Linked DNA regions of Daphnia pulex. The protein of the gene in region 6 purifies or fractionates together with the protein of the main gene of each other region. This does not show direct contact. Links are inferred from orthologs where the notes say so. Each region holds a gene or a part of one and is shown on either strand. Other genes may lie near its edges.

The links. Proteins that work in one complex are often made in the same cells at the same time.
Region 1: the proteins of transcriptional coactivator YAP1-A-like (region 6) and T-complex protein 1 subunit beta-like purify together in Homo sapiens (affinity purification with mass spectrometry; 3 studies listed by BioGRID, with this or other methods). This does not show direct contact. The link is inferred for Daphnia pulex from reciprocal best matches to the Homo sapiens genes YAP1 and CCT2.
Region 2: the proteins of transcriptional coactivator YAP1-A-like (region 6) and multiple PDZ domain protein-like purify together in Homo sapiens (affinity purification with mass spectrometry; 6 studies listed by BioGRID and IntAct, with this or other methods). This does not show direct contact. The link is inferred for Daphnia pulex from reciprocal best matches to the Homo sapiens genes YAP1 and MPDZ.
Region 3: the proteins of transcriptional coactivator YAP1-A-like (region 6) and E3 ubiquitin-protein ligase CHIP-like purify together in Homo sapiens (affinity purification with mass spectrometry; 3 studies listed by BioGRID and IntAct, with this or other methods). This does not show direct contact. The link is inferred for Daphnia pulex from reciprocal best matches to the Homo sapiens genes YAP1 and STUB1.
Region 4: the proteins of transcriptional coactivator YAP1-A-like (region 6) and poly [ADP-ribose] polymerase 1-like purify together in Homo sapiens (affinity purification with mass spectrometry, with the first as the bait; 3 studies listed by BioGRID). This does not show direct contact. The link is inferred for Daphnia pulex from reciprocal best matches to the Homo sapiens genes YAP1 and PARP1.
Region 5: the proteins of transcriptional coactivator YAP1-A-like (region 6) and 60S ribosomal protein L18-like purify together in Homo sapiens (affinity purification with mass spectrometry, with the first as the bait; 4 studies listed by BioGRID). This does not show direct contact. The link is inferred for Daphnia pulex from reciprocal best matches to the Homo sapiens genes YAP1 and RPL18.

Annotation. Positions count from the first base shown.
Region 1 is NC_060023.1:8,135,619-8,139,657, forward strand, and holds T-complex protein 1 subunit beta-like, read right to left. Parts: upstream 2,801-4,039; 5' UTR 2,624-2,800; coding exon 2,621-2,623; intron 2,384-2,620; coding exon 2,210-2,383; intron 2,152-2,209; coding exon 1,886-2,151; intron 1,788-1,885; coding exon 1,484-1,787; intron 1,430-1,483; coding exon 1,302-1,429; intron 1,097-1,301; coding exon 922-1,096; intron 866-921; coding exon 688-865; intron 618-687; coding exon 414-617; intron 348-413; coding exon 175-347; 3' UTR 5-174; downstream 1-4. Other genes in the region: CCR4-NOT transcription complex subunit 7-like, read left to right, coding at 3,550-3,574, 3,649-3,958, 4,023-4,039. UniProt on the Homo sapiens protein: Component of the chaperonin-containing T-complex (TRiC), a molecular chaperone complex that assists the folding of actin, tubulin and other proteins upon ATP hydrolysis.
Region 2 is NC_060026.1:2,899,295-2,903,517, reverse strand, and holds the start of multiple PDZ domain protein-like, read right to left. Parts: upstream 2,801-4,223; 5' UTR 2,638-2,800; intron 2,564-2,637; 5' UTR 2,517-2,563; coding exon 2,501-2,516; intron 2,425-2,500; coding exon 1,976-2,424; intron 1,451-1,975; coding exon 1,335-1,450; intron 1-1,334. Other genes in the region: Down syndrome cell adhesion molecule-like protein Dscam2, read right to left, coding at 4,009-4,223. UniProt on the Homo sapiens protein: Member of the NMDAR signaling complex that may play a role in control of AMPAR potentiation and synaptic plasticity in excitatory synapses. Promotes clustering of HT2RC at the cell surface.
Region 3 is NC_060019.1:9,014,910-9,018,509, reverse strand, and holds E3 ubiquitin-protein ligase CHIP-like, read left to right. Parts: upstream 1-1,353; 5' UTR 1,354-1,549; coding exon 1,550-1,639; intron 1,640-1,721; coding exon 1,722-1,848; intron 1,849-1,908; coding exon 1,909-1,980; intron 1,981-2,052; coding exon 2,053-2,180; intron 2,181-2,264; coding exon 2,265-2,378; intron 2,379-2,445; coding exon 2,446-2,502; intron 2,503-2,580; coding exon 2,581-2,697; intron 2,698-2,754; coding exon 2,755-2,880; 3' UTR 2,881-3,100; downstream 3,101-3,600. Other genes in the region: CD82 antigen-like, read right to left, coding at 1-184, 308-523, 717-791. UniProt on the Homo sapiens protein: E3 ubiquitin-protein ligase which targets misfolded chaperone substrates towards proteasomal degradation.
Region 4 is NC_060024.1:8,492,887-8,497,060, reverse strand, and holds the start of poly [ADP-ribose] polymerase 1-like, read right to left. Parts: upstream 2,801-4,174; 5' UTR 2,643-2,800; intron 2,560-2,642; 5' UTR 2,527-2,559; coding exon 2,413-2,526; intron 2,348-2,412; coding exon 2,203-2,347; intron 2,136-2,202; coding exon 1,984-2,135; intron 1,913-1,983; coding exon 1,701-1,912; intron 1,644-1,700; coding exon 1,430-1,643; intron 1,337-1,429; coding exon 1,254-1,336; intron 1,183-1,253; coding exon 1,057-1,182; intron 999-1,056; coding exon 900-998; intron 836-899; coding exon 675-835; intron 606-674; coding exon 448-605; intron 385-447; coding exon 318-384; intron 60-317; coding exon 1-59. Other genes in the region: uncharacterized protein CG1161-like, read left to right, coding at 3,091-3,156, 3,239-3,469, 3,533-3,658, 3,721-3,864. UniProt on the Homo sapiens protein: Poly-ADP-ribosyltransferase that mediates poly-ADP-ribosylation of proteins and plays a key role in DNA repair.
Region 5 is NC_060017.1:4,092,350-4,095,090, reverse strand, and holds 60S ribosomal protein L18-like, read left to right. Parts: upstream 1-1,255; 5' UTR 1,256-1,356; coding exon 1,357-1,359; intron 1,360-1,495; coding exon 1,496-1,582; intron 1,583-1,641; coding exon 1,642-1,848; intron 1,849-1,908; coding exon 1,909-2,178; 3' UTR 2,179-2,241; downstream 2,242-2,741. Other genes in the region: TATA element modulatory factor-like, read right to left, coding at 1-209, 292-410, 470-604, 683-812.
Region 6 is NC_060025.1:6,891,490-6,895,075, forward strand, and holds the end of transcriptional coactivator YAP1-A-like, read right to left. Parts: intron 3,379-3,586; coding exon 3,242-3,378; intron 3,182-3,241; coding exon 2,828-3,181; intron 2,747-2,827; coding exon 2,631-2,746; intron 2,569-2,630; coding exon 2,169-2,568; intron 2,036-2,168; coding exon 1,917-2,035; intron 1,858-1,916; coding exon 1,774-1,857; 3' UTR 501-1,773; downstream 1-500. Other genes in the region: FUN14 domain-containing protein 1A-like, read left to right, coding at 281-463. UniProt on the Homo sapiens protein: Transcriptional regulator with dual roles as a coactivator and corepressor. Critical downstream regulatory target in the Hippo signaling pathway, crucial for organ size control and tumor suppression by restricting proliferation and promoting apoptosis.

The sequences.
Region 1 (4,039 bases), on a different chromosome or scaffold from region 6:
TAACTTCTTTTACTAAGCAATTGTTCAGTGTATCAGCTGTAGTAGATTATAGGACCAGTACAGAAGGACGAAGCAAAAGAGTGGGCTCGAGCAAAAAGAGCGGACCACTTAAGGGGGGAAAAAACTGGATGCGAGTTCAAGTTAGGACGTAAGCTGTGCATCGACAGTGCAACTTTAACAATGACTCCTGTCTTGTTCACGACGGCGAGGTGCTGCCTTAATGATGTCATCAACGCGAAGAATCATTTCAGCCGCTTCAGCTGCTGATACAAGCACCTGGCGCTTGACAACGAACGATTCAGTCACGCCCAACTGCTGCATACAGTCGATCTTGCCGAGATCCATATCTATTTACAATCAATGAACACATTTTAGAATTGCATGTGCAACATGAAGATTTTCTGACGACATACTTAGACCAAAGGTGGCTTTCCCTTCTGAATGTGCTGCTCGGAGCTCTGACACAAGTTGGGCTGAGTCATAGCCCGCATTGTCGGCAATCACGACGGGTAGCTGGAGAAGAGCGCGGGCGAAAGCCTCCATAGCCATCGATTCTTTACCCGGAGTCTTGGCAGCCAAAGCATATACTGCCATGGCCATGAGTACTTCGCTGCAACCTTGGGATTTTGAAATAAAATGGTAAAATCCCAGGTGCACGACGGATAACATGGAATACAAAAATAGTACCTCCACCGTAGACGGTGCGTGTTTCCTTAACAGTCGAAGCTAAAACACACAGAGCATCGTGAATTGAACGTTCAGCTTCATCAAGAATCTGTTGGGTTGCACCACGCAACACAAGTGTGCAAGCTTCACCCAATGGAACGCCAGAGAATCGCAACAATTTGTCTTCACCAATCATGACCTAAAAAACAAATTACGTGAGTTCTTCTTTCTACCAGAAAGTGAAAGTTGCTCAACCTCTTCGATAAGATCACAGCGTCCAAGTTTGACAAGTTCGGGATGGCCAAAAGTAGAGACGATTTCACCTCCAGTTACCAACGCAAGGCGCTCGATACCATCAAAGTCGGCGTGTTCCACAGCCATAACACCGGCATCAGCGAACAGTTGTTCTGGGTAGTTGTAGATCAATTGTCTATAAAATCACACAAATAAAAAATTTTTGATTTAAAAATCAACCATAAATTATAAAATTTACTACAGAAATTCTAGAATACATGGATAATAAATAAGCTAACTGACAGAATCTCAAATATTTCATAAACAAACAAAAGAATTTCTGAAGCCATATAAGATAGCAAATTTCAAATTAATGAAAGAATTATGAAAGAATGACAAACCTGTTGATAAAGACGGTGCAATTGTGCTTAAGAATGAGCTCAATCTTCTCCTTCATCTTTTCTTTCTCAGCCAACTCTAATTCTGCAACTTTAGCAACGGAATCAACGCGGATACGTGAGCCGAAAACCTAAAAATATGGATTAAGTTCAAATTCTTTGATAGTCATCGAAGTTTAAATTACTTTGATTTTATCTGTGTCCATGGGTGTATTGGCAATAAGGATACGGGCATTTTCAACCCTCTTTGGTTGGTTGACTCCCGGTTTCTTGTCAAGCAGAAACCCAGTGTCGAGGAAGGAATCTGTGAGGGTACCTCCTTGCTTTTTGATGATTTGAATAGCTTGAAGGTTACCTGATCCTTTCAAACGTAAAACTGCGTCGACAGAGATCTTGGCAAAGAACTCTTTGTGCTGAGAAAGAATTTTTGAGCTCAAAGTCGTTCGAGCAATGTTCATTAAATCCTCGCGAAATTTAGCTTCATCTTTCCTATAAATGAAACGAGATTTTAAAAAAAATCAATACATTGATCAAATACATGTTGTGTTGGTCTTTTGTGCAAAATGAAACTATTATGTCTATCTTACCCATTATCAATAGCTGCATTAGTAAGAGCCTCTTTGGCAGCCTGAGAGGCCTTACGCCATCCAGCAATGATGGTTTGAGGGTGGAACTTCATTTCAACAAGCTTATCAGCTTCACGCAAAAGCTCTGAGGCCAGGACAGTCACTGAAGTTGTGCCATCCCCAACTTCAGCATCCTGGGTCTTTGACATGTCTACAAGGACTTTAGCTGCAGGATTATCAACTCCAACTGCTTTCAAAATGGTGGCACCATCATTTGTTACTTCAACCTAACAAAGGAATTTAATGACTAAGTAAAATCAAGCACAAGAAAAATCTTAAACCTACTTGTCCTTCATTGCGGCCAACACCAACAAGAATTTTGTCCATGCCCTTAGGACCAAGAGTGCTTTTCACCAGCTCACCAATGGCAATGGCACCAACAAAACAGGACAAGCGAGCAATTTCAGCCTTCTCTTCTTCACCCTCATGTTTCAAGATTCTGGTTGGGTTGAGTGAGACCTAAAAAATACATAAAGTTATAAAAGATTACATGATCATTTGGTTCCATTTACTCAGAAAGAAAAAATTCAGTATGAGCAAATTTACATATCAACCATGTGACTTTCTGTCAAATGACAGTACGCCATTAAAACATAAAAGAGAGAAAAAAACCGACTTTTCACAATTGATTATTGAAAAGTGAATTGCGACTTTGATACAGACAAGTAAATAAACGAGAAATGACGAATATCGTACCATTTTTAGATAGCCGGCTGAAGTGATTCGGTTCTGACTTGCAAAATTACGTTCAACCACAAGCACGAGGACTTCTCTCTGTGGCAGAAAGAAGAAAGGTGTAGCTGGAAACCGTTTAGACGAACCTGATCCTTTGCCGCTGGACGTCGCCTCGGAGTCACACTAAAACGCGGAACGTACATGCAAAAGATTCAACTTGAACATCATATAGGCCCTACCTGCGTGCGATATCTGCAAAAATATTAAGTTTGGCATTACTTCCGCCAGATTATTAGATTGGAACCAACGATCGAATTTGGAAGTACGGTTTGAAGTTAGTCTCCAATTAATTTGTTTACAACCTATTTTAGAGTTCTTACTCTGAGCAAGTTAGCATCTTACAAAGGCAAGTATTTTTGGTTTACGTACTCCTTGAAAAACATAATTACTTGTGAGTATTGAATAATGTCAATATGTCCTTTTGTTAATCGATTTGTCTTGCGTTTTCAACATTTGTAATGAACGAAAACTCCCGCTCCGCAGTTCAATTTGACGTTTTAGGGTTGTCGTTCACTCGTTCCATATTTTTTCCGTATTTTGTTTCGCGCTTTATTTATTAAGGGGCTATCGCCGCATTTCGTTTGTCAGCTGTTTTTTTCTGTCAAACAATCTATCGCTATTTTCGAAGATGGCACCACTGTATATATATAGAGGCTGTTGTAAAACTCGGAAAACATTTCAGGTGAAGTTCCCACTGAGTCGATGTGTCAAATATCATTTTAAATTTAACCTAGTGGTGTTAATATCGAATTAATTGTAGGGTTCTTTTATCAATTTATTGTTTTGAAGGCTCGAGTGATGTGCTGCTGGATATGCTAGTTTATACGAATTTGATTCTTTGTGTAATCTAGTGTGATCACTGGGTTTCTGAAACTTCACTATCCATAGCCATGCCAACTTCAACTGGTATAAATCGTAACTAGCTTTATTTATTTCATTAAATCAACTTTCTAGGACAATGATTTTTACACTTTTACTTTTTTAAATAGGAAATATGCATCCTAGTAATGAAGAGTGTGGGATTCGGGAAGTCTGGGCTCACAATTTGGAAGACGAATTTAGACATATACGCCAGATTGTACAAGCATACAATTATGTAGCCATGGATACTGAGTTCCCAGGAGTAGTTGCCCGTCCCATCGGTGAATTTCGCAGCCCTGCTGATTACCAATACCAGCTTTTAAAGTGTAATGTAGATCTTCTGAAAATCATACAACTGGGCTTGAGTTTCCTGAACAAAGACGGCAAAACACCTTCTGGGTACACTACCTGGCAATTCAATTTCAAGTTTAATCTTGGGTAAGGTTTCTAAACCAAATTATTTCTCATCTGAAGACTATAAATCTTAATCTTTGTTTAATAGGGAAGATATGTATGCAC
Region 2 (4,223 bases), on a different chromosome or scaffold from region 6:
AGAAAAAGAATATACCTATCGATCGGTGCTCTCTCTCTGCCTTTCCACCAGTTGTTGGATGGGGGTGAGCGCAGAACAGAACACGAGTTTTTTTGTGTGTGTTAAAAGGAAGAAGAAGAAGAAGAACTCTGGGGCTCGTGTGTGTGTGTTTCTTTTCTTCTCCTTCCTTGTAGATGATGACACTGTCGGATTCAGCCCCGCGTGGATTTGAAAAGAGACGGGGGGCTGTTCAATCTCCCACGGTCCCCCCTGGAGGAACTCTGAGTCTCTTTGGTAGAGAGAGGAGGATGTGTGTTGGCCGCTATGAGGACGGCCTGCGATGTTCTCTCAACGCCATTGACCGTAAGACGAGAGAGAGAGAAAGCCGTGAGATCAATAGATGAAGGAGCTTGTTGGGAAGACTTGGCGCCAGGCTATCAGCGAGGGGGGAGCGACAATGACACACACGACGACGACGACGATGAGGAGGAGGACGACGAATTTTATCTCTTCCGCAACGAGGAAAAATAAAACCCAACACTCGAGACGGTCGTCAAAGACCACGACTCTCTAGACGCTCACAGACCCACACACACACACAAAAGAGTCAAGGGCGATCGAAGAGGCTCTCCACAGTTATTTTCTGGCGATTTCTTCTTCTTTTTCACTTGGTGGTGATTGGGCACACGACAAAAGGGAAAGGAGAAATCCTTCTTTTTTCTCTTTTTTTGGAAATGGGTAAAAAATCACAAGGGGAACAACAATCCGTGAGATGTGAGCGGTGCGAGGACGTCGGCGGGCGTCGGCATGTCGACGCTATCGCAGAGCCCGATCGCTCAAGAACTTGGAGCTCGACTGCCATCCAGACCGATGGCTGCGTCCGCCGAGTCTGCGCCATGCAAGCCAATCTTCCCCTCTCGTCGCCTCTCAACTCCTTTTCTTCCTTTTTTTCATCCGGCGATGGAGGAGGCCGACCTCAGCGCCCCACGTTGGACGATTTGAAACTTGAATGTTGTGTACGCTCAGGATTTTCCCGCTACTCGAATTCGACCTCAAAATAAAAGGGAGCAGCTCAGCAGCTAAGCGTGTGTGTGAGTCAATAGACGCCGCTGGATCTTATCCGTTGAAAAATAAATAAATAAAAGACAAGGCTCCTGTTTACTCTGGCCAACGCGCGGAGTAAATAACAAAAATAAGGGGGGAAAAATTCGGAAGAGTTTGTGTGTGTTGATTCCCGAGAAAAAATGTGTAGCGGAATTTCATTGTCGAGATCAAAAAAGAAATTGGTGCGGTTGTTGCTGAGTGGTGGAGAAGGAGGATGTACACACGACTGATGAAATAAGATCTTTTCTTACCTTCCAGCGATTCCGGTTGGTTGTATCTCTTGAACGAAGATACCCAAGTCTCCTTTGTGATCTGATCTCAATCCAACGACGCTGAATCCCAAGCTTTGTCCTTCCGGCTTGTTCAGCTATAAAAGAGAAAGAAAGAAAAAAAGAAGGTTTTTTAAAAAATTGTGTTTTTCCCCATGTTTTTTAAAAGATGGTAGGAGGGGGGAACAAAGGCAAAGAGAGAGAGAAGAAAGACTTATTGATTCAATTGAAATGGAGGTCGAGGACCAAGGAGGACGAGTGCTCTTCATCTCACTTCAAACTCTGGGGACTCTTTTCACGCACCACGTCAAAAGACCAAATTACACGCTCTGTTTCGATCAAATTCTGCTGATCAATGTTTCGAACCGAAAAGCACGCGCCCCCCTCCTCTCCTTCCTCCTCTTTCAGGAAACCGCAAAAAGGAGATTGGATACAACTCGCTTTTTGTCTTGTGTGTGCGTGAATCCTTTTCATTTCTTTTACTAGCCACCAAGTAAGGGCGCTCCAATCTTCAAGGAACAATTGACTTGGCGAATATGAAAGGGACGAGTTGCACAACACGGCACCGCAATGGGGGCCAAAATGCCTTGTGATGTCTCAATAGTATTTGTTTTCTCTTATACCTGAATGGCAATGATTTCTCTCTTGGCAGCTGCCTGCAGGATGGACTGTTGAAATGCGGCTCCAGTTTTGGCCACATCTCTCTTGTGGGTCTCTGGTGAGACTGTGGATTGCTTGGACGAGCTGGTGTTGCTCAGGGAAGGGCTCGACTTCCCCCCTTTGGTCTTGAATGATGAACGATTAGTCTGGAGGATGTTTTGATTGACAACCAGGGTCCCTGATTTGTCGATGTCAAAATCACTTGGCAGCAGGGACGGGTGGTGCATCAGATGTTGGTTCAATTCCTCAAGCGAGTCTTCCAGCTTGAGGATGTTCCTGAGCACAGGGTTCTGCAGGAGGCTCGTGAGGAGGTCCAAGTCCGTCTGGACCTGGGAAGCCACACCATTGCCTGCATCGTTATTTGTAACTTTTTGCTGTACTCGCTCAAGAAGAGCCAGAGCCCTCTTGGCATCTGCGATCAAGAGAGTCAAAACGAACAAGAAAAATTAGCTCACTCCAACAATGGTTACTACACTCGTTGAGCTCACCTGAAGTCACGGGCATTCCCACAGCGTTTTATAATCAGAGGCGGCTATTCACCTCCGCGAAACCTTGAACAAGGAATTCAATCGCAATTTCAAATGGGGAAACGAAAAAACGTGCTGTCAAAACGAGTCACACTTACCGTCGAAAAAAGCCAACTAAACCGAAAACGAAAAGCAAATAAGGTGACAAAGGAAAAAGGAACGAAAAAATCAAACAGACTTGAATTCCAACATAAGATCGCCCTCCCCTCGAAAAAAGCCAACACACACGGGAGTGAATGAAACACAAAATGCACCTGTTTTTCGTATGGCAAGGCGAAGGTCCGACTTTTTAAATGCGAATTCCAATGCTGGGCCCCCACCTCACGCAGCGCTCTGCGGCCGAATTTGGCAACACTGTTCCAGCCCCCTTTTTCTATAAGAATTTCAATTTAATCAACTTTAATCGGGTTTCACTTTACTAAAGAATTGAAATAATTAAATTCCATTCAATCCACTTGATTTTCAAGTTTATTCGCAACTCAATCGTAAGAAATTTGATTTGGAATGAAATAAAAGTTGTGAATGTCTGCCACCAGATGGCGTTGGTTGAAGGAAACCGACCAAAATCGTTGGGCGCCAGACTAGGCTAGGGCCTGAAACCCAATCAAAAAGGCGGGTCTAGTCTCCCGCATTCCATTCGGGCTCCGACGTTGTCATATACACAACACAACAGTGCACAGGACTGGCTGCACAAATCACCTCCGTGTCTAATCTCGTTAGCACTCCCTCCCGGCGCGGCCTCCCACTTTTGTATTTAACTATTCTATCCCCACCCCCACCCCCCCACCTTCCCTTCCTCCAAAACTAAACTACACGCTCTCTCTCCCGGTGCGCACTTGGAGCGTGTTTCCTATCGTTCCCGAAAAACTTGCTCGTCCGGCACACACACACACACACACACACTTGCAGCTTAATACCAACCGGAGGAGTCGTGCCGAAGCTCCCAAGTCCGGCACTCACGACAGTACATTTTATTTTGACATTCTTTGAAATTCTTTTCACGTTTTTATTCCGGCCAAAAGTTATTCACATAAAGCCGATTCGCCCTAGTGGACCATTTGGCACAGGCATTCACGGGCGAGGAATAAATCTGTAGATTTATCTTCCATCCATTTATGTATTTATTATTATATAAATATATAAAAGGGGAGCGCGATGGATCTAGAAAGATAAGCCATTGTGTGCTTTGCGAGCGGAATGTATAGAGAGACTTGTGTACAGTCAGTTTGGTGTGTATTTGACGCGTTTCCATAATCCTTGGGCGCTGCTCTAGGCATAACAACAGGCCCCCAAATAAATCGATTTCAATTTCCAAAAGTGCATATCTTTGTCTGTCTGTGTGTGTGTCGAGTGTTGAGAGAATATATATACAGCTCGGGAATAAAAGGGGGGAAATACAAACACACACAAAGAGGAGAGGATTTCCGGCGGAGGAGTTGGAGGAGAGGCGAAATGTGTCCGGCGATAGATTAGACGGCTATTGAATGATCCGGAGGCGAGGATTCTGCTGAATGCTGCTGCTGCTGCTGTGGCTGACGTTGTTGTTTATTGTTGTTGCCGATGGAATGGGTCGGACCTCCACCATTCCGGCTGGCTTTGGGGCGGTGGACAATGCTGCTGCTGGACGAGGAGCTGGCCAATGTTTTGTCGCCCGATTCCATCAAAGGATTCAACGTCCACGACT
Region 3 (3,600 bases), on a different chromosome or scaffold from region 6:
AGGCGTGAATTCCGCAGCAATTTAGCTTGCTTCGGATTTCATCCACACGAATTTTTGAAGTTTTATTGTGGTGATAATTAGAAATGTTTTCCTTCAGAGAATTTTCGGTTATTTTGGAAAAGCGAAGAACCATTATTCCTCCCACAATTACGAATCCAAGATTTAGTAATACGAAAACCAGGTACTGAAGGCGAGCAGTGCGATGCAATCATTCATCGTAGCGAAATATTCCATTTAGTCAAAGGAGAAAGAAAATTACTCTAAAATCTTTTTTTGTTTTTTTTTTTTTATACAAACACGAGCTTACGCAAGATATCAGGCATTTTTTCTCGCCAAAGGCACCACACATCCCGAATAGGCTAAGAAATATGAGTAGACCGCTGACGGCAATTGCAACCACGATGTTCATAACCATATATTTGTCGTTTACCACCAAAAATTTCTGTTTGTCTGATCCTTTTGCAAATTCTTGACGTTGTACAAGTGACGACGCCGACAAGGAGATTAATACAATGCCGCTCAACTGCATTTCAAAGAATATGTCAGTATCATATTTTATGAAAAGCAATAACAAACCCAGTCTTCCAAACGCAACATTTAATTCGATAATTTCAACCATCTTCAGTTAAATTCTTTAGTAAACTCACGTTGGAATAATATAACTGTTAATATTTTAACAAATCTACAATTACATTGTAATAGAATAATATGTTTACCAGGATTAACAAGTTGAGGCACAAAAAACTCCATCGTAAAATCTTGTGGGAACGGAACGTAACCTCGTCCGTCATTTCCCTTTGACTGTTTTTCCAGTTACTATTTCAAATCGGAATGAAAGCCCGTGTGATAAGGAAACTTACTGTACCACTAACAGGAAACCCAAAATCCGAGTAAAAGAAAATACATTTGCAAACAAGCAATACAGCCGGAACCCAAACGGTATAAAAAAGTGACGTCTATCATTAATATCGTAATCCATAAAACCACGTTGACTCCACCAGTTGGTCTCACGCTTCGAAGTTTTAACTCCTGAGATGGTCACACGATTAAATAAGTAAATAACCAGAATAACCACTGCGGATCGCCTACTGTTCTCTAGGTTAAAGCCCAGCAGTGCGCAGTCAAAATTGTACGCGCGTGTATCCAGGTCGGATGTATATCACTCCAAATAACCTTTTCTTTTGCTTATTTCAATAAATTCTCTGCTTTAACAGCTCTAATTAATTTTCTTATCCTAATTTTCAAATTAGATAGGAATCGTTATGGCGTCTACTGCGCGTATTCATCATAGATTAAAATCTATTTTTATTGGATGGTAGATGGCGGTGAAAAGGTCTTTCCACAATCCGCACTTTACTTTACTTTCATCCGCATTTTATAGTTTATTTATTAAAAGCGTTTTTGTTGTTTTCCGCTTTAGTGTCAGAATATCTGACGTTAATTGGAATTGTGCAATTACGTTTTCGTATCTATTTTATGTGATAGTGTTGCTTTTTTAAATTCTTTCTCGATCCTACAGCACCCAATAGTTTCTTTTTTAGAGAAGAAAATGAGTGACAGAGAACACAAAGATCAGGGGAATAAGTTGTTTTTAGCTCGACGTTTCGATGAAGCAATTTCATGCTATTCCAAAGCCATTGTAAATTTCTTTAATTAAATTAAGCATAAATTATTTTGTTTTGCAACGCGTAAATCAAAGTAATTGTAATTGTTTTCTTTAGCTTAAAAATGGTTCTGTTCCACAATACTACACAAATAGAGCTCTCTGCTCTCTCAAGCTTGGCCGTTGGGATGCAGTAGTGCAAGATTGCAAAAGTGCTTTAGAGTTAGACAACACTTGGGTGAAAGGTTTTTAGTATAAATTCTTCAAAATACTCTGAAAATGCTATATATTGCTATTATGTTTAGGGCATTTCTTTCTGGGCCAAGCTTTAATGGAAAAAGAATGCTATGAGGAAGCAATAAAACATCTTCAAAGGGGTACTCATTTCCCCAACTTAACATAAATTTTGAACACATAAAATCTGATTATTGAAATTTGCTTGTTATTAGCCCGTGATCTTTCGATGGATCAGAAACTTAATTTTGGGGATGATATTACCAGTCAGTTAAGACTGGCAAAGAAGCATCATTTTACAAAGCAGGAGGAGAAAAGAATTTCACAAGAAATCGAACTACAGGTAGTCTGTTAATAACATTCTCTTTGTCCACTCCACTTTGCAAAAAATTATGATTCATTTGAAACTTGGATTTTATTTTGATAGATGTATATAAATAGGCTCATTCGAGAGGATCGAGATCGACAAATCGATTTGGTTAGTCAAGACAAAGAATACAGTTCAGTGGAAAACGAAATTTCGAACATAGAGAACGTCACCGTGAGCATATCTAGAGTATTTTTCTTGTTTCGTTAGTAGACTAATAATACTTGATTAAAATCGGTAGGATCGCTACCTGGCTGAATTGAATGACCTTTTCGCAACCGTCGATGACCGAAGAATGGTACTATAAATTATTCAACTGTGTGTTTCAGTACGTCTTATACCATTAAGAAATTGTCTTTGTAATTGTGTCGGTTAGAAACGTGAAGTTCCAGACTATTTATGTGGCAAAATCTCTTTCGAGATCATGAGAGATCCAGTCATCACTCCTTCAGGAATAACCTACGATAGGAAAGACATCGAAGAACATTTGCAGGTAAGTGAATTCAAAATTGCCTAGTAGATATTAGCCAAAAGATTTGTTTTTACGCAGCGAGTTGGACATTTTGACCCTGTGACGCGAGTTAAATTGACCAAAGACCAATTGATTCCAAATTTCTCCATGAAAGAAGTTGTCGACTCGTACCTGACCGAAAACGAATGGGCTCAGCACTACTAACCACTTTTTTAAGGATCATTCATTGATTTTGATTCTCTTAAAAACTCCGCCGCATTGTATTAAATGAAATCGATATATATTATGATTTGAATCGCCGAGCCCCAGTTGTGATGTTTCCTATCGGGTTGGATGATAATCAGGAAGTAAATGTTGCTATACAGTCTTTCGCTATTGATTGCACATTGCTGTTGTACTTCAATAGACGATGCTGGAAATTTTATATATACCTGATTATGAACCTCCTATTAAATTTGATTTTATTGGGATCAGAGTTCGCCTTGAGCAGATTCTACACCTGTAGGATTGCTCCAATCTTTCAATAGGTTATATTCTTTAGACTAAATTATCGTCTCCTCTGACAATTGTTTGTGGGTGATTGATTTTATTACTTTAGCCAAAGGCAATTGATGATTTGCAGCCGAACTCTATTGGTACGTTTCCTTTCATTAAGCACTTAATTGAGCTTGGCGTGGTTCGTTGTGGATGTGGCCAAGGACAATTGTATCAGAGTTGGTTAAGTTGGTCATTAATCAGGGGGGTCGACTTGAACGGACGGTACTATCGATCCTGGTACAGCACGGGACTGGACCGATATTCACTTAAATTATAATAAACGTCCCATGGGTAAATTGTGTTTGCCACGTCGTCAACTACAGTTATTATCTTATCAGCACTCTAGAGAGAAGTCTGTTGTGTATCTTGCAGTGTGCATACAAGGGC
Region 4 (4,174 bases), on a different chromosome or scaffold from region 6:
TACTCCTCCTCCTTTAAGTTTCAGCTTCAGTTTATCGGACATGCCTGAACCAGATTTTTCTGCAAACGAAAACACAATTTAGTTACGAGATTCAGCTTCGTTTTTAGCGTGAAATAAATCAACAAATATGTTAGTCGCGTATCTGTCTATGAGGGCAGACTTGGATCCCTTCATAGTCATCAGACGACTCAATTAATTTAGGATTGAGTTGTGACCTTGAACTTGATTTACTTGCAAGTTTAAAGCGTATGACTCCCCCATACTTATACTACAGTTTTTACTGGGAAACATTAAAAGTAATAAACAGTCCAACCAACCTGAGCCTTTCGATTTTCCAGAAGATTTCGTGGCACCCGACTCGTCCAAACCAAGACGCTTCTCGATCTAGATTTATTACAGTTTTTAAAAAATCTCAAAAATTAGGGCAATAAAAGAAAAAAAATTTACACTGTGGCAATCCCATGGTGCGATGTTTTTCTTCGTTATAATGGATGAGGCAGATTCGCCAGTGCTTGCTTTGATTGCATCCAAAAAGCTAAGGTCTACAACATGAATACCGAGTTCAGACGCTTTCTTCAACTTTGAATCCTTTTCTTTTAAATTGTCTGTAAAACAGTAATACCACATATAAAGGCTTAATCTCATAAGAGAAACTACCCACTCAAATTTCTAACCTTTCGTAGAAATTACGGCTGCAATTTTTTCGGTAACGCGCGAACCTACAGAACCTAGTAATTTTTTTATTTCAGCTTCGACTTTTTCTTTAGACTTTTCAAGCTTGGAATCAAGAATGAATTTCAAGCCTTCTAGTGTGGGTGGGCGTTTCGAATCGGATCTAAAAGAAAAAGAAAACATTAATAGACAGAACTAGCACGTTATCTAGTTGAGTAAATAGCTACTTTTCTTTTTTCACGTTCACTTCTTCGGTTGGATTCATACGAATAGTGCGAGTTAGCGCTGGGATTACCCTCTGTCCGGGAACATATTTGTACTTTTTCCTATAGAAGAATGAAGTTTAGAAAGTAACTTAATGTATGGCAACAACAGCCTTATTACAAAAATGAGTAATTTTCCGAGAGGTCCGATGGAACTTTGAATGGTTTCCTTTCGGGAGTTGTTGTCGAGTTGGGGCACTTCGTCCAGCCACTCATGTTTCCAGAGCATTGATAACCCATGCCACTCCTGTTGTAGAAGAAGAAGTAAATCTATATAGGTAAGGCTTACCGACTTGAAATTTCTATTATTTTAATCACTTGTAGAAAAACTGTCCACTTTTGCATTCATTGCATGGAAGCAAAGCTCCAAACGCCATTACATCGGCAAGAAGGTCCAACATCTAAAAAGATAAATAGCTGCATATAGTTTAACTATGCGACATATTGATTAACACTCAGAAGAAAATAAAAATATTAATAAAAAGTGCAAGTACTTCAGATGTTCCAGAAGGAATTTGCTGATCGTTGTATTCCAGCAGAATCTGGAGTTCTTGTTTTGTCAGAGTTTCCAACTGGTCTCTGTATTTAAACTGAATTTTATTTTGCTTCTTGATCTCTTCCTTGAGCTGTTCATTTTCTTTTTCTTCTTTCTTTATCTTCTTTGCATCCGAAGGTCCGTCGACAGCATCCCCGTCAACTTTTCGTTTGCTGAAAAAAGAAACCGTTATAATACATGATTTTCCAAATTTCGATTCTTGTCAATACTTAGCGGAAAGAGCAGGGAGTTCTTTTGAGAGAACTTTTTTGTCGTCGGCAGTTAGATCTTTAAATCCAGGGATTGTATCCACTCCGCTAACAAATTCTAATTCTTCTCGTCGCTCTTTAAAACATTTGACGTGGTACCACATATCCAACATTTGTCCATGTCTCATGCCTCCTTTGGTGTCGTATCCTTTCTTTGATATCCTCAATTCATCCTACAATTTGAACATTATAGACATGTTTGAACATGGATCGTTTTAGAACTTGCACTTAATGATTATAATACTTTTGCAATTTTTTCTAAGCAGCCTCGACATGCAGCTCTCCCAGATTTTGCATACTCAATTAGAAAATCAGAAAAGGGTTCAGCAACTTTAGCTGTTTTCCCCTTGCCTTTTCCTTTTTTACTTGGTTCAGCAATCCCACCTTCACTGATTTCTTTGGAAAAAGGAAATAGTTAGAAATCAACTAAATACAATGTATAGCAATATTAGTAATGTTTTACTTTTGAGCATCTGATTAATTTTCTCTTGATCTTCCCAGCGCAATTGATCAAAATGTTCAATGTCACCAGCTGATTTGGGCCGTTGCCTTTCAAAAAAGCAATCAAAGTGGTACCACGAAACCATTTTCCCATCAAATTTGGCAGCCTAAAACAACAATACTGTACTAGTGTACAAAGTCCAGAACCAAACAATAAAAAATAAAATGTTACCTGAAAGATTACAGCAAGTCGTAGAGTGCCTTGAGGAATGTTTTCTTTGCATTTCTTGCAACTAGCTCGACCCGTCTTTGCATATTCTGCTCGAAAAGGTAAATCATCCGCCATCGTTTTCTTCTGAAAATGAACGTCCCACGATTTCTGGGATTTCGGAAAAATCACAAAAAAAAACACAATTAGCATTAGCAGTTCATAATTTTAAATGAGATTGAAATGGGCCATACCTATATATTCCAATTTCCAGTGCACTCAGATAGTTTGAATTCTTGATTCTTTTAACACAATCTTTTCCACTACTTCGAGTACAACGTCCTCCAAACTTCGCAGTTCGCACTTCGCAGCCGACAGAGTTGGGCACGTTTTTAGGTAACAGTAGAATTTCGAGATGGCGCGCTAGGAACAAAACAGTGTTGTCAGATGGGGGCTCCTAAGTGGCGAAAATGGAGAAAAGTTTATTTAGAACTAAAAAGAATAAGTAATTAAATTTCAATTCCACAGTAACGTTTAAATTTTTATTGCTGTAATACATGTTTAACGACCCATTTCCTCTTTGAACAAAAACAATGTTTCTTTTTTTTTTTAAATAGCAAACCAGTTGGCGCCACAAGCTGTGGTCGACAGTCTGTCAGCTGTTTTGTTTCCGACAAATCAGTATCGGATTTTGCTGCAATTATGACACTTCGAAAGAGTTTCTTTCTTTCTTTTTTCGTCCTTTTCATCTTCTCATTCATCAGTGATGTATTGATTTTTATGTTTACTATTAAGAAAACATTGCTTAGAAATTTAATGATTTTGGTTTTGTTTGTTTTTGTCCTAATAGGTGAATGCACAGTATGAGGATGTCAGATGCAAGTGCATTTGTCCAGATACCGCCGTAGTAAACGGAACTCAGTCACATAGAAAACTTTACATTGAAAATGTTCCACCTAACAAATGTGATTGTACAAATGTTGTGCTCCCAAGGGTAGGGGATGATATCAAAGGAAAGGAAAAAGAATTTTGTCCACGATGTGAATGCAAGTACGAAAGCAGGAACACAACAACAATCAAGGCAAAAAAACTGTTGACATAATGTATTGTAGACTATTCTAATATAAATTTTTTTAAATTTCAGGTTGTTGTAATTATTGTTATCTGGATAATATCTCTACTAGTCATATACATGCTGTTTCTTGTTTGTCTTGATCCCCTTCTCAACAAGAAAACCACTACACAATATCAAGAACATAATAATGAAGAGGTATTCTATAAATTTCTCCCTTTTCTTCCTTCAATCATCTTTTTAACTAATTTATCCTACAGGATGAAAGTGAAACCCATTCTCAACCTTTAAGGGCAAGTGGAGCAGGTGTGCTCAACCGTGTTGGCCAAACTACTGATAAGTGGAAGAAAACTGTTCAAGAACAACGTCGACATATTTATGATCGACACACTATTCTTAACTAATCACTTTTCTAAATTCCAATTCTATGATCTGTAGATGTTTGCGCGTTTATTCTTATTCTTATTTCAAATATTTCATTCACCAACGGAAATAAAAAAATTAAAGTCTCATATCGTAGAGTTTAAGATTCTTTTTTCATTGAAAAATATCAGAGGGAATGTAACTTGGTAGGATACATTAGTAGGTTGCTGTAGGCCTACTAATCATGCGCGAAACTAGAATGCAGCCGGACAAGTCATAAAATCAAGATTCAGAAGAAATTTTCGTTGGTGTCTATTTGATAATATACAAAAGTAATAAATCATATTACCT
Region 5 (2,741 bases), on a different chromosome or scaffold from region 6:
ATTGTTGAAACTTCATCTCTGTTTTGTGTGCGATGGTGGTTGGTTGTTTCTTCTCTGGCATCACTTTTGGTATCACTTTTCCAATCCATATCAGCCAAATCATTTTCAGGACTGATGACGGTAATGGAGCTGGAAACTGACATAGAGCTATGGTAACTTTCATTTACATTCGTTTCTTCTATAGAATCAGTCAGAACCACATGATCCAGCTAAATGACATGAAAATATAACAAAATACAATCAAATACTTCTTATTCCTGAACAACTTTATCATCTATTTATTTTCCTTACCTCATTGGGATTGCTTTTTTTTTCAAGGTCTCCTGCAGGAATGGATGTTTCAGTATGGGTGCTTAAATCTTTAGCTGTTGTTTGAAGTACATTTGAAACTGGGGCCTGAAAAACTGCTGCTATTAAACAAAATTACTTTATTATCAATCGAATGACTTGACACACACATGTTTAGTACTTTTTTGCTGATCTCTTTCAGACTTTGAGTCTGGTTCACTCACTACGACATCTTCTGAGCTTGTTCTGGTTTCATCAGGTGGATCATTTTCCTCTTTCACCAAATTGAAGGATTCAAAGAAGTGTCCAATAATTTCTTGAATGACAAATCATGCAACAGAACTTGTTATTAAATACATTCATCTATCATAGTAGGCAACTGAGATACATATACCATTTTCAATTGGTTTATTTCCAACAGCATCTGGATCTCTAATGTCAAGTGCTTTGTCTATGGTTTTTTGGGCTTCTTTTAGTGCATTTTTAGCCAAATTTGCAATGCTACTGGTATTGAGCCAGCTCATTTTCGATGTAGACGGTAGCCACGTCAGCAATAGCTTTCAGCTTTTAAACGACAAGCAAATATCCGAAAATTCCAAAAGTAATATCTCTCATAAGAATCTAATACAGAAAGCCCTATTTTTTAAATACTTGCCTCATAAACTATAATTGGGCCGTCATTAACACAAATCCAAAAAAACAAAACAATCAAAAGTTGTAATTTCTAGCAGACAAATGTCAGAAAGCTATTGCTTTTTGTATTGCATAACATGGTTGCTCAAAGCATTTATCTACCCTACTTTCGATCGAGTAAAATTTTCCAAAAAATAATTAGCATCGTCATCTATATGACTCTAATTTTCTAAAGAATTAATACAGATACTATGTCATCTTATAACTGGTTTTAAAAGCAATTTAAAATCTAGTCTGAACTCTGAAGGCAACGTGTGAAAGTACGCTCTACAGGAACGATATGGCAATGTTGAAGTTATCCATTTCTAAGACCGAGAAGTCCCATCAGAGTCTTTTCGCTTTGCCTTTGGTCAGTCCCCAAGTGGTAGAGAAACAATGGTAAAGACTAGCTCGTTTTCATCTAAAATTATCTTTTACATCCTGTATTTCTCAAATACTTTTTAGTAACGTGCTGATTTGGAGTGATTGTTGGATGTTTTTACTAATCGATGTATTGTAATACCTCTTTTTTCAGGGTATTGACATCAACCATAAGTACGACCGTAAAGTCGTCCGACGTGAACCGAGGTCTGAAGATGTCTATCTTCGACTTTTGGTGAAGGTAAGAATCATTGAAATTTTGTGTCATTGGACTATTTTGTAAAATCGTTTCGTTTACAGTTGTACAGGTTTTTGGCTCGTCGTACCAAGGCCAAGTTCAATCGCATCATTTTGAAGCGATTGTTTATGTCGAGGATCAACCGTCCACCACTGTCGGTGTCTCGCTTGTCAAGACATATGAAGAAAGCCGGAAGAGAAGGAAAGATTGCTGTTGTCGTCGGAACTTTGACAGATGATCCTAGGATCTTCAAAATCCCCAAGCTCACGGTAACTTTTTTAAAAAATTCATTTTGCAATATCGTGTCTTATGGTACATTCCTTCTTCAGGTGTGTGCTCTGCGTGCAACAGAGAGAGCTCGAGCTCGCATCTTGAAAGCTGGTGGTCATGTTTTGACTTTCGATCAGTTGGCCCTGCGTGCACCAACAGGCAAAAATACTATTCTTATCCAAGGGCGGCGCAAAGCTAGGGAAGCTAACAAACACTTCGGACCTGCTCCTGGTGTTCCTGGATCACACACTAAACCATTGGTTCGCTCTAAGGGACGGAAATTTGAACGTGCTCGTGGTCGTAGGTCATCTTGTGGTTACAAAAAGTAAATTTCTTCTTTCGAGAAGTTTTTGTATTGGTTATCAAAAGATTAATACAATGCTTGTAACCAACTTCCTCTAATTGGGTATGCACAAACTCTAATTGGGTATGCATAAATTTGAACATCAATGTTGTATTCAATGATGTATGAACACTTACATGCCACTTGTTTAAGTGGAAATATGAGACGTGTTACAGAACAGGCGATCGTAGTGTTCGAGTACATCATTTTAACAGTTTAGGGGTAAGAAAATGTAACTTCCAGGTGAAATAGTTCAAATAACTGGCAAACAAGACAACTTTCATGAAAATCGGATCAAGACTACAAATAGAAAGTTGGAACTGCATACAATGGACACTTGAAGTCTGGTAGCACACGAACAAATTGATTGCCACCTGAAAACTTGACACAGCACGAACCTTGCAAGCAGTGTCCTTTTACATTTCATTCCTAACTGTTTGGTGATACGAGATAAATATATCGCAAGTATATTAAGGGGAAGTTCAGGCGAAACGAGTAGACTACACTGCTTTAAATTGACGATTACAAAGACACAAGTCCTTTATATCG
Region 6 (3,586 bases):
TTTAATCACCCATTCAATTTAGTTAAGATATTTCATTGTGGTAAGCTAAGCTGTATGAAGAATGGAGGAATGTAAATATGAAGTAACAACTGAAGAATTTTTTTTTTTCATTTACTGGGTTGAGACCATGTACATAGCTATTTTCTGCTTGCTTTTATCATCACACTCGAAGACAAAACATTTTTTTAAAGAATAAATCCTCAGTGGAGAATTTTTTTTTGTTTATTCTTTTCATATTTCACATAAGTTGATAGGCTGTGTCGTATTCATGATTTCATAGGCTGCCGACTATTTGGACGAACAAGCAGAAAAAGCTGGCCGAGTTCTCCGAAAGAGAACTGCAGGAACGCGCAGCTGGTACCATAAACTCATCGGCAAGAAAACATCGGATGGTTCCGAGGCCTTTTATATTGGTTTCATCGGAGGTTCTCTGGCTGGATTATTTATTGGAGTAATTTTTTAAGCGTTAATGATTGATGCATAGACCTTAAAGACTCCAGCACTTGTAGAAAGATGTATTCATGGACAAAAGTCAACAGACAAGAGAGAAATAAATCGCATAAGGCCATTCGGAGCAACATTTTAACAGTTTCTAATTGTAATAATTCTAGTACGACACTATTCTAATTGACACTTAAAAGGCCTTGGGGAAACTAGCATGTATCAAATAAATCGAAAAGTTCGCCCGTCACCAATACAATGAAGTTATACATAGTTAATAACGTTTCCTGTAACCCCCTCAACTTCACCTTGTTAAAACAAAACGATAAATCCGAGCTACCAGATAACGTCAAATCATAAATGAAGGCACTGAAATTTAAGACATTTCTTCAAGGCATGTGTTACACACAATTTGGACCGTTTAAATTACTCGAGGTCCGTGAAAGCCAAGAGTGGTGGTGCAAAGTTAACTGTCTGCATCAGAAAAAAAAATTTAATAATAATGGAGAACGAGCGAGAAGCGCAAGAAAAATCCAGTTTTAAGGCTAGTAATCATGGCCATACAGGGGGACGGGTCACCAAGACATTTTCAAATGATATATCTCCTGCTTCGTATTCGGTTTGCGAGTGGCTTGTCAAAAACATTTGGACAGGGTATGCAGAAAGAATCATTTGACGAGCACATTTACAGGTAATTCAAAGGCATTGAAAAGGAACACACAATTTTGACCGACACACGAGGGAATTCCCAGGCATCTTATTGCTTCACACGTTTTATAGGCACGTCAGTTTCTCTCAAGACGACGATACTGGAACGGGCGCGCGACCGGACCGGGATCTCATCTTTTTTTTTTTACACCTAGAACCATCTTCCCTAGAACAAGAACCTACAGTCATAGTTGCATATATGTTTTAAAAAGTGATGGTTTCGGAATCAAACGAAACAAATATCGAAAATCTTGTTAGCTCCTCCTTCCGTTTCCCAACAATAACTCTTAATACGTAAATGATAAGCTAGTACGACAATGCATAATACGCATTGTGAGCTAATCTTCCTCTAAAACGTTTGCACTTTCAGAACCGAATTGTTTTTGATTAACTCTACCGCTAGTCGTTAGCTCTACATATTCAAAATAATTGCCAATTTCTGAATATTCGTTAAGATGAATCCCATACTAAAGGTTAAGGCCAAAATGTAAAAGTTAGTTGATCACGCCCAATGCCAAACCAATAGATGCGTAAACTTCAAGACGTGTTGAAGAAAACCATCGACGATATTGGCATTCCATAGAAGATATTTATAAATTTGGGATTCAACCAAGACGAGCTGTTTCAGAGCCAAGTAAGGACGTTGTCGACTTTGTTTGAATTCAAAAGAACGTCATTCAGGATGTCCGTCGATAACTCTTCTCCCAACTGTTCAAAAATAATTGTTGTTTTAAATCGAAATGACATTGTGAAATGTATGTTCTTACATCCAAAGTAGGTACGAGATCGTCAGTAGTGTCCATATGAGCAGGTAGATCGCCAGCCTCTAATCCTCCATTCATGTCGTTCATGTCGTTCATATCGACAGTGCCAACAGAAGCAGGACCTAAACAACGTAAACAATCCGTTACTAAAAATGTGAACTCAACGATGTGAAACAATGAATAATATAGGAAAAATTAAACTAAAATAAAAATTTAAAAATTTAAATTAAGACTAATTTTAAAAATCAAAATTACAATCAAGCGTAGTGTCCATTGTGTCATCCATAGAGGCGAGGAAATCCTCGGGTGTGTGAGGTAAGCTATAACTGCCACCCATACCCAAACCAGAGTCGGCCGACTCTTGACGAGCATGAAAGTCGGTAGCCAATGACGAAGGTGGAGCTGTCGAAGACTGAGGGATATTTGTGGCCGCTCCGTTTCCTGTTCCATTGACGCAAGTATGGGGAACGGCGGCGGTAGCAGCAGCCGACGCTGCACTAAGAAAAGGATCCACCGTGTTGGAGCTAAGCTCGTTGGCCGCTGCACTGTTGCTACTCGATTGCGTATGAAGAGGATTCCGTCTCATGGCGAACTCCGGTTGCTGTTGGGAACCGGTGCTGTTTTCTTGCTGACGGACGCGAGTTTCTCGTTCCATCTGCAATGAATTCATCAATGGAAAACAAAGATCACACAACACCTTCACATGAACTAAAATACCATGGCTATAATTTCCTGTTGTCTCTGTCTTAAACGATCCTGCTCCTGCTGAAGTCTTTGCAATCGCAATTGTTGCTGGGCAGCCTGGGCAGGCGTCAAAGTTTGCTGTGAAGTTCCTATTAAATAAAAATAAAAACATCAAATTGAATGTTTACCGTCAGCACTTCTGAGATTTGTTTTCATAAAATAAGCCTCACCTGAAGCAGCTGGCTGCTGAGTAATCTGTTGTTGTTGCTGTAAGGCGGCAGCGCTCTGTGTTCCAGCGGCGTGTACCATGGGTGGCTTCTGCATGTGAATAGCTGATGATGGAACAAACAGAAACGAGACATTAGCGTGGCGAGCAAGTGGGGAAAAACAAATAAATACAAAATAATAAAAGAAGTTGCTATTACGAAGGCGAGGATCAAACCACGAAGTCTTTCTCGTGTGATGATCAATGAAATAGAGTTCTCCTTCCGGAGTAACTGCTTGTTCCCATCCATCCGGTAGAGGACCCAAAGCTTGGGTTAAAGCTTGCTGAGATGCCGCCAAGACAGCCGCTGCATTACTTCCTGTTAATTGAATGAAAGTTACATAACCGGAAAGCCAGGAATTTGTATTGTTTCACTTACCGGCAACTGGCGCCGTAACGGCACTGAGTAAAGGTGGAGCTACCATGTTTGGTGGAGGAGCCGGTGACAACGGCTGAATCTGTTGCTGCAGTAATTTTTTCCGTGGATCCTCCCATGTTGTTGTTTGAGTCAGGTGACTGTAAAGAAGAAAAAGAAAAAACACATCAGCAAGATGAAAATCGGTAGAATGTCTGACACGTAAATAACAAATTATTTGACAATGATAAACGGCAACGCTAAACACACGCGACTAGACACAATAGTCTAGGACAAACCTGACTGAAATTGTTCGGTACCATGTTGGAAAGACCTTGGATTTGTTTCACGCTAATAGAATCAGATAAA